Drosophila melanogaster: one gene and its partner. The protein of the gene in region 1 interacts with the protein of each later gene in a biochemical or structural test. Each region holds a gene or a part of one and is shown in the gene's direction. Other genes may lie near its edges. The genes, in order: cup and smg.

Region 1 (5,322 bases):
CTTCTGAGCGATCAGACCGATCCCTTTAACCGCGAACCGCTCACCATGGATAAGGTCAAGTCCAACGAGGCTCTGAAGCAGGAAATTGAGAGCTGGATTCAGGGCAAGCGGGAGGCGGCCCGCTCGAACAGTTGAGGTAGCAGCGAACCCGCAGCTGCTGGCTCAGTTGCCCAACCAAAGAGTTAGCTCCACGGGGATTCGGTTGTTAGGGCAATAATCAATGTTTTTTTGTTCATAAGAATTCCAGTCATACATGGTGGTATGTGTATGTGCAGTTTTATAATTAGTGGTTTTTAAAATGTATTCTTAATCCATTTTTTCCTGTCAACCGAATTAATTAACAAACAATGTGTACGAATAACATGCAAAGGATAAATTATTGTAGTCATATTTGGTTTTGTGTTCACAATATGTTTACATATATGTTTAAATAAACGGCGTTTCGCTGAAAAAATGTGTATATTCAATTAATTCATCAAATGAAAATATCTATAATGCAAATCGACAGCATATGTTTTATTAAATCCAATCTCTAATTGTCTTTTTTCGCTCCATTGGTTTCTACGGCAGATCCATTGTCCATGTCGTGACTTACTGATTCACGGAATCGATTGAAGTAGCGACGACCAGTTAGGTACCACAGCGCCTCGTGATAGCTTCTGGGAAGGATCTCCGGAACTGCTTTGCTGCAGGAGTAGGTCAGGTGCAGCACATTGCACTTAAGCTCCGTAAAGCTATTGCCATCGATTGCATTCACCACCGTCAGCAGCTGAATGTAGTTTTCGTGGGTGAAAACCACGTACGCCTTCAGTTTTATATAGCTATGGACGGGAATGGAATGGGCGAACGTAACGTCCGCAATGAAGCGGATCATGCAACGCTGGTTGGAGTAGAGGGAGGCTGTCATGTAGCTAATCTCGATAGCCTTGCGGATGATGAACCCTCCGAAAATGGTGTTCGATTCGTTTCGGTTCTCCGGGAACGGATGCATCAGGGTTCTGCGGCGCCACGTGGACATCCAGCGGGAATTCGGTGGTAGAGTAGTCATATCACTCGGCGAAGGTCCGTCATCGCCCTTGGTTCGGGTAAATAGCTCGTACATGAGCTGCTGTTCCTCCTTGGTGGGCTGCTGCGACTCCAGGCGATACAACGCTTTGGCACGCTCCTGGTGCCGCTTCTGCGCTTCCTGGTGTAAACTTTCTTCCAGCTCATTGGCCGGCACCAGAGGATTGACAGGAGCAGGGCCATTATTGATGGCATCGCGAGCCTCTACCACAAAAATGCCCTTTGCCAGCAACATTCCGCTTTGTCGCACATATGCCGTGACCTCCATGAAGTTATTGTCCGTATATGAAACGTGACCGGAGAGGGACACATCTGCATCCGCAATAAACTTGTCTTGCAAGAAGTGGGCGTGGTCCACCAGCATGGTGATAAAAGTGTATGGCAGCGGCACACCCTCCGGCAGATTGGGCAGATGGATGTGAAGATGGCAGATCCACACTGCAAGGCCACTCTCATTAATCAGGTATTTGGAGTAGTTAGTTAGTATACTTTACTTACTTACCTGCAAGAAGGTCAAGTTCCTCAATTATCCTGCCCATGCGAAGCAAGCCTCGCCCGTAAACGAATCGTTGCCTCAACAGAGCATCTGTTTCCAGGAGCACCTGGGCAGTCGTTTGTGAGTCCAGCATGGAGCGATTGGGCAGTTCGTCTTGCTTCGGCTGAAACTTGAGCAGTCCATCCCGGCTCTTGGGAATGATGTGGTAGCCTCCTTCCACGCCGACGTGCTCACGGATTTTCTTCGCCACTGTGCTTGGTATTGGGAGTTGGATAAGTGGACGATAATGTGGAGGTTTACCCGCGGTTACCATCTGCCATCGTGCCCGAGCGGTGCCCCGAATCCAGCAGCTCCCTCCCGGATTCCATGAACGAGTGACGAATTGCACCCAGTTGGTGCCACGGGTGTCGCACGGCGATCACCCTTCTGCCAAAGTGCTGGCTCAAATTCATTTAAATTTTGGGTTTGTGTGCTCCGCTATATTCATATGTATAGTTGTCAAATAATAAGATACAGTACGTTAAAATCGTTTGCACTTAATTTTTTAAATTTGTAACAGAATAACGGCTTTTATGTAATCGAAATCTTAAGAATCACAAGTACTAGTTTCCAAAGTTATCACGTTCCAGGCTTAGCTACTTTCTGTTGTCAAAAGTAAATGTCGTAGCGCATTATTAATAAATTCGCTGTTTTGTTTAGGAATCAAAGAATTAACTATTTGAAAGCTGTATAAGTCGCAGATCAGTGTTTGTCAACACTGGTCAATCCATCCTCCATCTTCCACCATTCGCTTTCGGTATTTTTTCCTATTCCTGTCCTGCTTACTCATCGTAGCAGCGCCGAATAACGGATCCTAAGATCGAACGAACCTGTGCTAAACGTGATTTCGTTCAATTTCTCATACATTTCAATATATTTGACCCGATCAAAAGTACTCGTTTTAAGTTTTAACCAAAAAAAAAACCAACAATTAGTGAGTATGGACCCTATGAAAGAGGAGGCGATCGAATTGAATGGCCATGCTATGCAAATGGCCGAAGCTGAGCAAGAAAATGGCGCTGGCGCCCTGAAAATTGCCACCAATGCGGGTGCAACCGATCGTCCAGCGCATCAGCAGCTTCCGCTGCCAGTCGAAGATCAGCAGGATGAGGTGCTGACCCCCGCTGAGAAGGGCAAGTTCGAGTACCCGCCCCCTCCACCGCCACCAACTCCAGTCCAGGCTCCGCTAGCCACCAAGGCCACCGCTCTGAATGCCAGTCAAGAGCATGACGACGACGAGGCCAACTCCGAGAAGTGGGAGGATCCGTGCGCTCCGCCCCCGCCTCCTCCGCTGCCGACTAGCGCTTTCCTGGCCACCGGACTGGGCTACCTCAAGCTGCCCGCCTTCAAGCTGAAGGACGCACTGGAGAAGGCCATCACCAAGTTGGAGGCCAACAAGCGGACGCTAAAGGCCAGCCCTGAGGTGAGTTCATTACATATAACATTTTTAATTTTATTATTAGCAGTGCACACTGTTGTCAGATTATATATTTATATTGAAATACATTTTAAATTTAACTTTTCTTGAGTCAAACTTGATATTAGTCTAAAATCTTCGCAATATTTATTGGCCAACAAAGCACAGTATTAAACACGTAAATGGTATTAGGAATCAGAGCAGCTCTGATACAAATGTCGTTAAAAATTTAGTTAAAGAAACTTTGACTTGGCATTCATATATTCGACACTTATTTTACATCGAGTACAGACAGGCACTCTCATATATCATGAAGTTTTTTCAATGTTGTTTTTATTTTGGCAAACAGTCTTCTCGTTCCATCAAAAACAAGAATGTGGTGGCCCTGGAGATGTTACCCAGGCGCTCAAACCCAGAAACGATCGGCGATGGATCCATGTTGGCATCCACATCCACGGCTGTTATGCTGCAGACCAAAAAGCCCGCCGTTATTGTGGAGATGGAGAGGCGTTGTAAGATCATCAATTTACTGGCCAAACAGAATCAAATCCTCGAATCCATTTCGGGGGAGGCCATTCCGATGCATGGACCCTCGAAGCATCTGCACGAGGACGAGGGTCTGACCCTGCAAGTTCTCTCGGCCCGAGCATCCACACCGTACACACAGCCCTCCAGCATGTTGTCCTGCACGGCCGTTAGTTGTGACCTGGAGCACGATTCGCCGCGGAAGCAAGTGGCCAGCAAGGAGGCCGTGCCGGAGCAGCAGTCTAGTCAGGTGCAGCAAAAGCGTCCACCCAGCACAGGCATTCACAAGCCAGGAAGTCTGCGAGCACCCAAGGCTGTTCGTCCTACTACTGCTCCGGTGGTCAGCAGCAAGCCGGTCAAGAGCTATACCCGCTCCCGCCTGATGGACATTCGCAACGGGATGTTCAATGCCCTGATGCACAGGTCCAAGGAGAGCTTTGTGATGCCTCGCATCGCCACCTGCGACGACATTGAGTTGGAGGGAAGGCTTCGCCGCATGAATATTTGGCGCACCTCGGACGGCACAAGATTCCGGACCCGCTCCACCACAGCTAACTTAAACATGAACAACAACAACAACAATGAGTGCATGCCTGCCTTCTTCAAAAACAAAAATAAGCCGAACCTAATCAGTGACGAGTCCATCATCCAGAGCCAACCGCCCCAGCCGCAAACGGAGTTCCAAGTAAGCTAGTTAAACTTATACTATTCTACTCAATTTTGCCATATATTCTATATAAAATAGACTTGGTTAGCTTAATGGAAAACTTATGATTTGAAAAGGAAAAAGTGATTGTGACAGTGCGGTAATTGTTACAGTTACACATGGCGTCGATTCATTTGAGTACCTCGACCATCTGATACCCCTTCCTTTGTAGGCCAAATTGTCTTTTTGGTCTGCTCAGAAAAGCTCTTTTATGAAAAATCATATTTCCCGCCTTTTCTGCTTAGAAAAAATCGCTTAATCGATTAAGAACATTTTCCCCACTTTTGCATTAGGTAACACAAAGTCGCATTATTCCTGAGCTTATCTGATAAATCAATGATTGCATTGCATGACCTCCAGAGGTCTTTGGCAATCATGCTGATCATTGGCTGGACCCTCGCCACAGTCAAATCACTAATCTAGAACATTTTACAACTGATTGCGAATAAGTATGAAGTAATTACTACAGTCGTATTAGACTATTTCCTTTTATTGAATTCTAAACCATCTGGGATTCTACAAATACCCTCGAGCGAAATCACTTCTCTAGATAATGACACTTTCCATCGACCTCCCGCAACCTTTGGGCTGCCTGTTCGGGAGTCAGATCCCGCTGGGCCATGGCCAGCAGCTCAAATCCCACCATGAACTTGCGCACGGAGGCAGAACGAAGCAGCGGCGGATAGTAGATGGCGTGCAGGGTCCAATGAGCACTGGATGCGTGGGCATGCTCCGGCCCAGTCGGTGCTCCATGCCAACCCATCGAGTAGGGGAATGAACACTGGAACAGATTGTCATACTTGGTGGTCAGCTCCTTTATGGTCAGCGCCAAGTTGTATCGCTGTTCTGCGGTAAGATCATTGATCCGCTTATTGTTGTTGCGTGAGATGAGCATGGTTTCGAAGGGCCAAGTGGCCCAGAAGGGCACCACCACCAACCAGTCGCGATTCTCAATGACAATCCGCTCCTGGCGCTGCAGCTCACGCTCCACATAGTCGGCCAGCATGGGCCGCTCGTTGGTGGCGTAGTAGGCACGCAGACGCTCCTGCTTCAGTTGCGGTTCCGTCGGCAGAA
Region 2 (8,054 bases), on another chromosome or scaffold:
AATGTCAGGCAGTTCGTGAGCAGTATCTTGATGTGCGCGATCCAGGGCAGGCTGCGTTCCTTAAAAAGACAGAGGGCGGCATAGGATAGCTTGGTGTTCTCCGACTCCATTGCCTTGATGATGTAACGGCAGATGCGCTCCAGACGCTCCCGTGCACGCACATCGCTCTTGTCCAGCCTGATCTGGGTGAGGTAGCGACGAAGCACCGGATAGACGTTGCTTGCCACGAGTTCCAGTTCCGCATCCTTATCGTCATGATTCTCAGTGAACATGGCATCGAAATCGAGTCTGCAAAACGGGTTACTATTTAGGATGTTCCATAAAAGTAGATAGACACTTACATGATTCGTTTCTGGTACTTCCTACGCGCCGCATATCCCTTGAGCGTGGACTGCAGCAGGATGGCCGCCTGTTCGCGTCGCTTTTCCAGTGCCCGCTCCTCCCGCGCCGCCTTTGTCTGCTCCAGGAAGCTGGCCTTTTGGTTTTGGGCAAACATTTTGCTCTGCAGCAGGTTGAAAGAATTTTGTTGATGATGTATTGTTGTTGACCAGAGCGTTTGTTTTTGTCGGGATTGTGGCCGTTCCGGGATGTATTTATCGTTTCAATCACTTCCTCGAGCTGAACGCTATCCCAGAGCCTTGATTCAGAGCCTCGCTGGATATTTTCTGCATTGCATATCGAGCAAAATGCAAAAAGAAAATATCCTTATTTTGTTCCAATTGGTGGTACAGTGTCACCGTCTCCGCTTACTGTCAAATAACCACAGAAATAGGCCAAAGCGCGGAGATCATTTTTGTTGGCAATTTTCTAGCTAAAACCGTGGTTTGAGTCCGCGCTGCATGAGCACGGCATCGAACCTAGGGCAGCTTTGCTGCTCAACTGAGCGTCCATCACCAAGGGAAAGTAACCGATAACCGCTTGCAAGAAAGATCGACTGTATCGAGTACACATCGATTTTTGTTCCAGCACTAGCAACGCTGCGTTCGCGTGAATAAATAATTAATTAATTGCTGAAAAAATGGATTAGCTGGCGAAACATGCATCCGACCAAGTGCAACAGCAACCGTGCGCAGTACTCAGTAATCGGGCGTTTGTGAGCGTAAGCGCCATGAATTGTGTGTCTAAAAAAAAGTAATGGTTTAGCAAAAACAACAACGCTAAAGCCCAAAAGTGCTAATAAAAAGTACACACATACGCACTCACACAAACGCGCGCGCGAGCAAAGGTGAAAATTATAAATTAATAAATACGCGATCCGATAGCATATCAAATTAGCGAAATATGCTCGTTTCTCGTGCTGATCGAATCAAAACTGTGAATTGCAACAGAAAATAATTTCAAGGTTTGCAGCAGGCGAATAGAAGGCGAAAAGGTAATTGAAAAATAGAACGAATTTTGGCACAAGCGCACTGTAGCTATATATTTTTGTTGTCTGGCCGACCGTGGCTAGGTGGGTGGGGCGTGATTTTGGGGGCCAATCTTGTGTGTTCTGTGTACTGTGCGCTGCTGCTCTGTGTGGTGAAAACAACAAAACCCGCTTACCCCGCAGGAGCCCCACCCCTCTCCCTTAAATGTAATGCATGTAATTTACCGCAATTTTGCCCGTGCATTGCTCAGTGTGTCACTCTCACTCGCACACATACCACTGCCGACGAGCGCAGCAAGGTCTCCGTCTGTGTGTGCGTGTAAGTGAGTGCTCTCCCCATTTTCTTGACAGCAGTAGCAGCATCAGCATCAGCATCAATCCTGTCAGAAAAAAAAGGCGCGCGCTCCTTTTCGCCCGTTTCGCTCTGCCTGCCGCTGCGCTGCTTCTGCAGCTCCACCATTTTCTTTCTAAATCGCTGACGCCAGCGCCAAATCATTCGCCATCAGCCGCTCCTCCTCCGCGGTGCTCCCCACTGCAGCTTCTCGTCTTCAGCTGAGCTTCGCTGTGCTAAACCAATTCTTCTGTTCTGTGTGGTTGGATCTGCAGTTTTGCAGATATAATCAAATTTATTCGCAACGTACATATGTAAATAAAAGCGTTCGGAATATGCCAAGCGCCTGTGATCGCGACTGCTGAAAGGGCAGCCAAAATACGATAATATATAAGAGCGTGTGAGTTTGCAGTATCCTTTACGTTTGCGTGTGTGTGCGTGCTTGCAATCTTTGAACTTTGAACTTTTGTTGAACTTCGGTAATTTTTTTATTTGCAAGCCGGTTAGAAAACAACAGCAATTGCAGTGACGCATAACCTCAAAGATCGACATGCACAAGTACCGTTAGATCGAGTCGCCCCAAACGACTCTTTTGCGCTCCCAGTCTCGCAGGGAAATGTGAAATTTCATATAAAACGTTACGTTAAATAGCAAAGAAGTTAACATCGGTAAATTCCATAGCAGTGAATGTGCTTTAAATGCAGTAATTGGGGCCCGTTATGTTTTACTGCTTGCTCACACACACTAACTTAAGTTGGGGTACCAATACACAGTCAGTTACACTGTCTCTGGCTTAGATTACAGTCAACACTCGATGTCGTAAACCAGGATAAAAAAATAAAATGCAGCAATTTCTCTTAAAACTACATTTTACATTAAAAAATAGATACTTTAATTTTCAAATTTTTTGACTCCCATGCGTTGATTTGTTCAATGTTTTGTGTGCTTACTGTGAAAACACGGCAACAAAAATCGAAGAAAGTCGTCAGAGTAAAAGCAATAATAACAACAACAGCAACGGCGGCAGAAGAAACAAGATTCGAAATGGGCACAAACGAAACTAAATGAAAAGCGCGAAACTGTGCAAAAAAAATACAACCTAACCAAACTTCTCGCCCCCGCTCTACTTTCCCGCCCGGAAATCAAAATCCGAACGCCGCCAAGTCGAAATCAGCGATTTCGTATTTGAAATGTTTGTTATTTTATTGATTTATCGTCCCTCGTCATTTGCGCCATCAAAGCGAATCGAAGGTGTTATATATTTGTTGCTTGTTTATTTGCTTTCCTGATAAGCCAGCCGACCAAGCAAATGCTAATTTCCATTCGTCAATTACAGATAATTGTTGTTGCTATTGCGCTTGTAAATTTAACAAATTAGCGAAAACTGATTTGATTAAATTCGAACGTTATTTGCGGCTTAAAGTTTATTTTATTATCGCTGCACGGCACTCTAATCCCGAGTGGAGCAATGGCGACAAATCCATGGAATAAGGGAGAAGCTATTGATTGGATCACGTGGTTCGGAATTGTGGTATTTTTCTATGGAAGTGATTAGATTGGGCTAAACTAGGCTTTAAGCGAATGATACAGCTCATTGAGCATAAAAAAAATTGTATTACCACAGTCACAAAGTTTAGCTTTACATAATAGTTCAATTATTAATCCTACCCCGTTATCTTTACTTGCAGCAACGCAACCAAATAACCACAAAGAAGCCGTAACAAATACAATACCATAAACTATAGTAAGAACTATCCCCAAAAAACAAGAAGCAACTAACAACGAGATGAAGTACGCAACTGGAACTGACAACGCGATGACCTCCGGCATCAGCGGCCAAACCAATAACTCTAACAGTGCATCCAACGAGATGCAGCCAACCACATCAACGCCTACTGCAGCCCACAAGGAGGCCACATCAACGGCCACGACGACGGCGACATACGCCAATGGCAATCCCAATTCTAACGCCAATCCCAGCCAGAGCCAGCCGTCCAATGCGCTGTTTTGCGAGCAGGTGACCACAGTGACAAATCTCTTCGAGAAGTGGAACGACTGCGAGCGAACCGTCGTGATGTACGCGCTGCTCAAGCGGCTGCGCTACCCGAGCCTCAAGTTTCTACAGTATTCTATCGACAGCAACCTGACCCAGAACCTGGGCACCTCCCAGACCAATCTGAGCAGCGTGGTTATTGACATCAATGCCAACAATCCGGTGTACCTGCAGAATCTACTCAACGCCTACAAGACGTTCCAGCCATGTGACCTGCTCGACGCCATGTCCTCCTCGTCGTCCGACAAGGACTCGATGCCATGCTACGGCAGTGACTTCCAGATCACCACATCGGCGCAGTGTGACGAGCGGAAGCTGTATGCCCGCAAGGAGGACATTCTGCATGAAGTACTGAACATGCTGCCTCTGCTGAAGCCGGGCAATGAGGAGGCCAAGCTTATCTACCTGACCCTTATACCAGTTGCCGTCAAGGACACCATGCAGCAAATTGTGCCCACGGAGTTGGTGCAGCAGATCTTCTCGTACCTACTCATCCATCCAGCTATCACCAGCGAGGACAGACGTTCGCTCAACATTTGGCTGCGTCACTTGGAGGATCATATCCAAGCGGCTGCGGCGGGCCTGACAAATCGCAGTTACTTCCTGCAGCCCTCGCCGCAACTGGTCGCTGGTGGTAGCTCAACAGGCAGTGGTAGCTGTTCCTCTTCGGCGACCAGCTCTTCGACAGCATCCTGTTCGTCGGTGGCCTCATCCTCGTTGTGCCCCGCAAGCGGCAGCCGTTCCTCACGCACCAACGACTGGCAAACGATCGCCCCGCCCAGCAAGCAATTGCAAAACAAATTGGCCGGTGATTGGCGTGGCAATGGAGGCGGCAGCTCCAGCGGGTCGATCAATCCACTCTGTGATAATCTTAATGGTATTACCCTGAACGAATTAGCTTCTAGTCAGAACAGTCTCGGCCTGTCGCTGGAGGGCAGCTCTTCCCTGGTCAACGGTGTGGTCGCTGGTGCAGGCTCTATGTTGGGAATCGCTGGTGGCGACGATCATGACACGTCATTTAGCAAGAATGGCACGGAGATTCTCGATTTTGACCCGGTGACGGCGGACATGGGTGAGGCCTGTAGTCTGGCCAGCAGTAGCCTTTGTGGACGTAACGGTGGAAATCCTGTTGAGGATCGATCGCAACCTCCGCCGAATCTTCAGCAGCAATTGCTTCAGCCTCCTCCCTATGCCTCGATCCTTATGGGAAACGTGGGCGATCAGTTTGGAGAGATCAACCGGTGGAGCCTGGACAGCAAGATTGCAGCCCTGAAGACGCGGCGCTCTAACAGCCTCACCACGCAAACGATCTCTAGCTGTTCCAGCTCGTCTAACTCATCGGTGATCACGGTCAATGACAACTGCTCCAATTCAACGGAGAATCTGGCACAGTTTGCCAACAAGCCCCGTAGTTTTTCCTTATCGATTGAGCATCAGCGCGGCGCCTTGATGAACAGCGGTTCCGATACTCGTCTGGATGAATTCAAGCCCAATTATATTAAGTTCCACACGCGCAACGTGGGCATGTCGGGAATCGGACTCTGGCTAAAATCCTTGCGTCTGCACAAGTACATCGAGCTGTTCAAGAACATGACGTACGAGGAAATGCTCTTGATCACCGAGGACTTTCTGCAGAGTGTTGGCGTCACCAAGGGCGCCTCCCACAAGCTTGCCCTTTGCATTGATAAGCTGAAGGAACGGGCCAATATTCTTAACCGGGTAGAACAAGAACTGCTATCGGGTCAAATGGAGCTGAGCACGGCGGTTGAGGAGCTAACAAATATTGTGCTGACACCAATGAAGCCACTGGAGTCTCCAGGACCACCGGAGGAAAACATTGGTCTGCGTTTTCTTAAGGTCATTGACATTGTGACCAATACGTTGCAGCAGGATCCGTATGCTGTCCAAGACGACGAGACTTTGGGTGTGCTTATGTGGATTCTAGACCGCTCTATCCACAACGAGGCATTTATGAATCACGCCAGTCAACTCAAGGACCTGAAGTTTAAGTTGTCCAAAATGAAGATCTCCATGGTTCCCAAAATGCATCACGTCAAGCCAGCCGGCGTCGGGCCAAACAATGGGAACATTAACAAGCCAAGGTAAGGTTTTCAATAAGATAAAAAGTAATGCATTTTAAAAATGAGCTGTTATTTTAGATGGAATGGTAAGACTCGCAAATGCGATACTAAAAATGGCAGCAACGATAGGATTAACAACCGCAAAAACTCCAACGACATGCTAAACTTTTCGCTAAATTGCCTGCCACACCCGCTGCCCCATCATTCGCAGCAGGCTCCGCCGCCTCTGCCACAGTTTGACTACAACGGCTATGGCGGCGGTCCATCCCATCAGCCGCAGTACAAGAGCTCCTCGTACCCAAGCTTCATGGGTAATCCTCAGCAGCAGCCACCACCGCCGCCGTCTAGTAAGTCGCATCATCATCCCCAGCAGATGCAACAGATGTTGCAGCAACACAACCACTTTCCAGCGCTGCCTCAGCAGACGCCACCACAATCGCATCGCCGGTCGCTGAATAATCTTATTCTGGTGGCCGGAGGTCCGCAGCAACCGCAGCAATTGATCTTTAAGCCCGGTCAGGGAGTGCTCACCAACAACGGATCTAACGACAACCTGGTATTGGAACGCAATCAGCAGTCGCAGCAGCAGCAGCAGCAGAGAAAACTTAGCGGAGGAGTGTCCAGTGCGGAGCAACAACCAAAGAAGACCATGGCCGCTGTTGTGATGGTTAGTAATCCAAACCAGAATCAGGACCAGCACGATCAGCCCCAGATCCTGATCAACAACAATAATAACAACAGCATGCTGAACAACAATTTGATTAACCAGCAACAGTTGCAACTTTTGGCAGCAGCTGCTGCCGCCGTGGGCAGTGGCAGCTGTCTGTGCTCCAATGGTGGTGGTGGTGCCTGTGTCCACAATATCTGTCACCAAAGCAGCAAGAACAACAATCATGGCGTAGACCATTGCCTGTCCCAGTCACCGTTGGGCAGCCTGGGCATGTCGCCCCACGTCACCGAGTACAAGATGAACGACTTTAAGAGCCTAGAACAGCTGGAGACGTTGTGTCGCCAAATGACTGAACAGGCAATGAACTGAGCAAGATTCAGGGCTATCTGGGTTTTGAAATCATCATGTAATGGCGTTAGATTTGAGGCTGCCAGCTGTTTTTGTGTTCATTTAGCTTTGAGCCGTGTTTGATGTTTGATTTCATAACGAACATAAATGTTTTTATATTTAGATATTTAAGATTCGTGTCTATTTTTGTGTCGCGTCAAGTTGTCCACCCTGCGTCTCCTTTCACATCCCGTTCTGTAATCGTTTTTAGTTAGTAAGACGATAGTTTGTTTTAATGTTAAGTTTATTAACTGTATGCCAAGGCGCCCCCAAAGATATGATCAATTGACTCGGGCTCGCAGGACCAACGGCTGGCCGATGAACTTGTGGAGCCCATGCTGCACTCCCCGACGGTAATCCCATGTCGGTTGTCAGCGGGGGCGTGGCATCTTACTGTCAATGTTATTAATGTATAGGTTTCGTAAATGTTGTCGCCATTTATGTAGTTAAACTAACAAGCCAAGCCCCACAACACACACACACACAGATCGCAACAACAGAATACAGTAACTTCTCTCTACCTAGGAAAATTTGGCCAAATTTGATCAACATTTTACGCTATTCTAAACCCCAATCACAACATCAACTATTTCATTCACTATCAACAACGTCGCCAAATGAAAGAAATACCCCGATCTGAACGACGACGAAAAATGGTTTATCTAGTAAAAAATTATAAAATGAACTCTGCATCGTGACCATGAGACTGACTAAGATTACTTTTCGCAACTATAAAAACTAGAAGGAAGAAAGCTGGATGGAGAGGGAATTGAAAAGTGAGAATTGAGAAACGAGAGCTGATAATTGTTTGCGCGAATCAAAACTAGGCTTGCTGAATGAAGTAGTAGTCACATAATGAATATGTTTATATATACACGTACACATAATTTATTTTAAATTAAAAGGAACATATTTGCTGAACCGTAACTGCACCAGAGGAAATCGCAACGGCGGAAACTACCACTAGACTAAACTTTAACAGAAAAGAGTTTCAATGTTTCACTGTTTGTGTTTGAGAATCGGAACCACATATTGTATTTTGCATATTTAAGCGTAAGCCAAATCCATGTATTGCATACCGATCATGATCACCATTGTCATTGATTAGATTATCTCTACTATTACTATTATGTTTGCTTTAGTCAATTGTTTATAATGTAAATGGC

What was found.
Region 2: the proteins of cup (region 1) and smg form a complex in vitro, tested with the Drosophila melanogaster proteins (one study listed by BioGRID).

What each region holds. Positions count from the first base shown.
Region 1 is NT_033779.5:6,661,565-6,666,886, forward strand, and holds the start of cup (cup), read left to right. Parts: upstream 1-2,099; 5' UTR 2,100-2,585; coding exon 2,586-3,023; intron 3,024-3,366; coding exon 3,367-4,227; intron 4,228-4,699; exon of another isoform or gene 4,700-4,786; coding exon of another isoform or gene 4,787-5,322. Other genes in the region: Ube4A (ubiquitination factor E4A), read left to right, coding at 1-135; CG13771 (uncharacterized protein), read right to left, coding at 533-1,503, 1,568-1,810, 1,872-2,013; Galt (Galactose-1-phosphate uridylyltransferase), read right to left, coding at 4,787-5,322. UniProt on the Drosophila melanogaster protein: Adapter protein that plays a central role in localization of transcripts in the oocyte and in young embryos. Maintains RNA targets in a repressed state by promoting their deadenylation and protects deadenylated mRNAs from further degradation.
Region 2 is NT_037436.4:8,990,897-8,998,950, reverse strand, and holds the start of smg (smaug), read left to right. Parts: upstream 1-1,856; 5' UTR 1,857-2,097; intron 2,098-2,379; exon of another isoform or gene 2,380-2,469; intron 2,470-2,701; exon of another isoform or gene 2,702-2,889; intron 2,890-3,033; exon of another isoform or gene 3,034-3,228; intron 3,229-3,385; 5' UTR 3,386-3,483; coding exon 3,484-5,852; intron 5,853-5,909; coding exon 5,910-6,870; 3' UTR 6,871-6,907; intron 6,908-7,413; coding exon of another isoform or gene 7,414-7,455; 3' UTR 7,456-8,054. Other genes in the region: CG5087 (uncharacterized protein), read right to left, coding at 1-288, 342-496. UniProt on the Drosophila melanogaster protein: Translation regulator that binds to the 3'-UTR of specific mRNAs such as nanos (nos) and prevents their translation. Prevents translation of unlocalized nanos in the bulk cytoplasm via the recruitment of cup.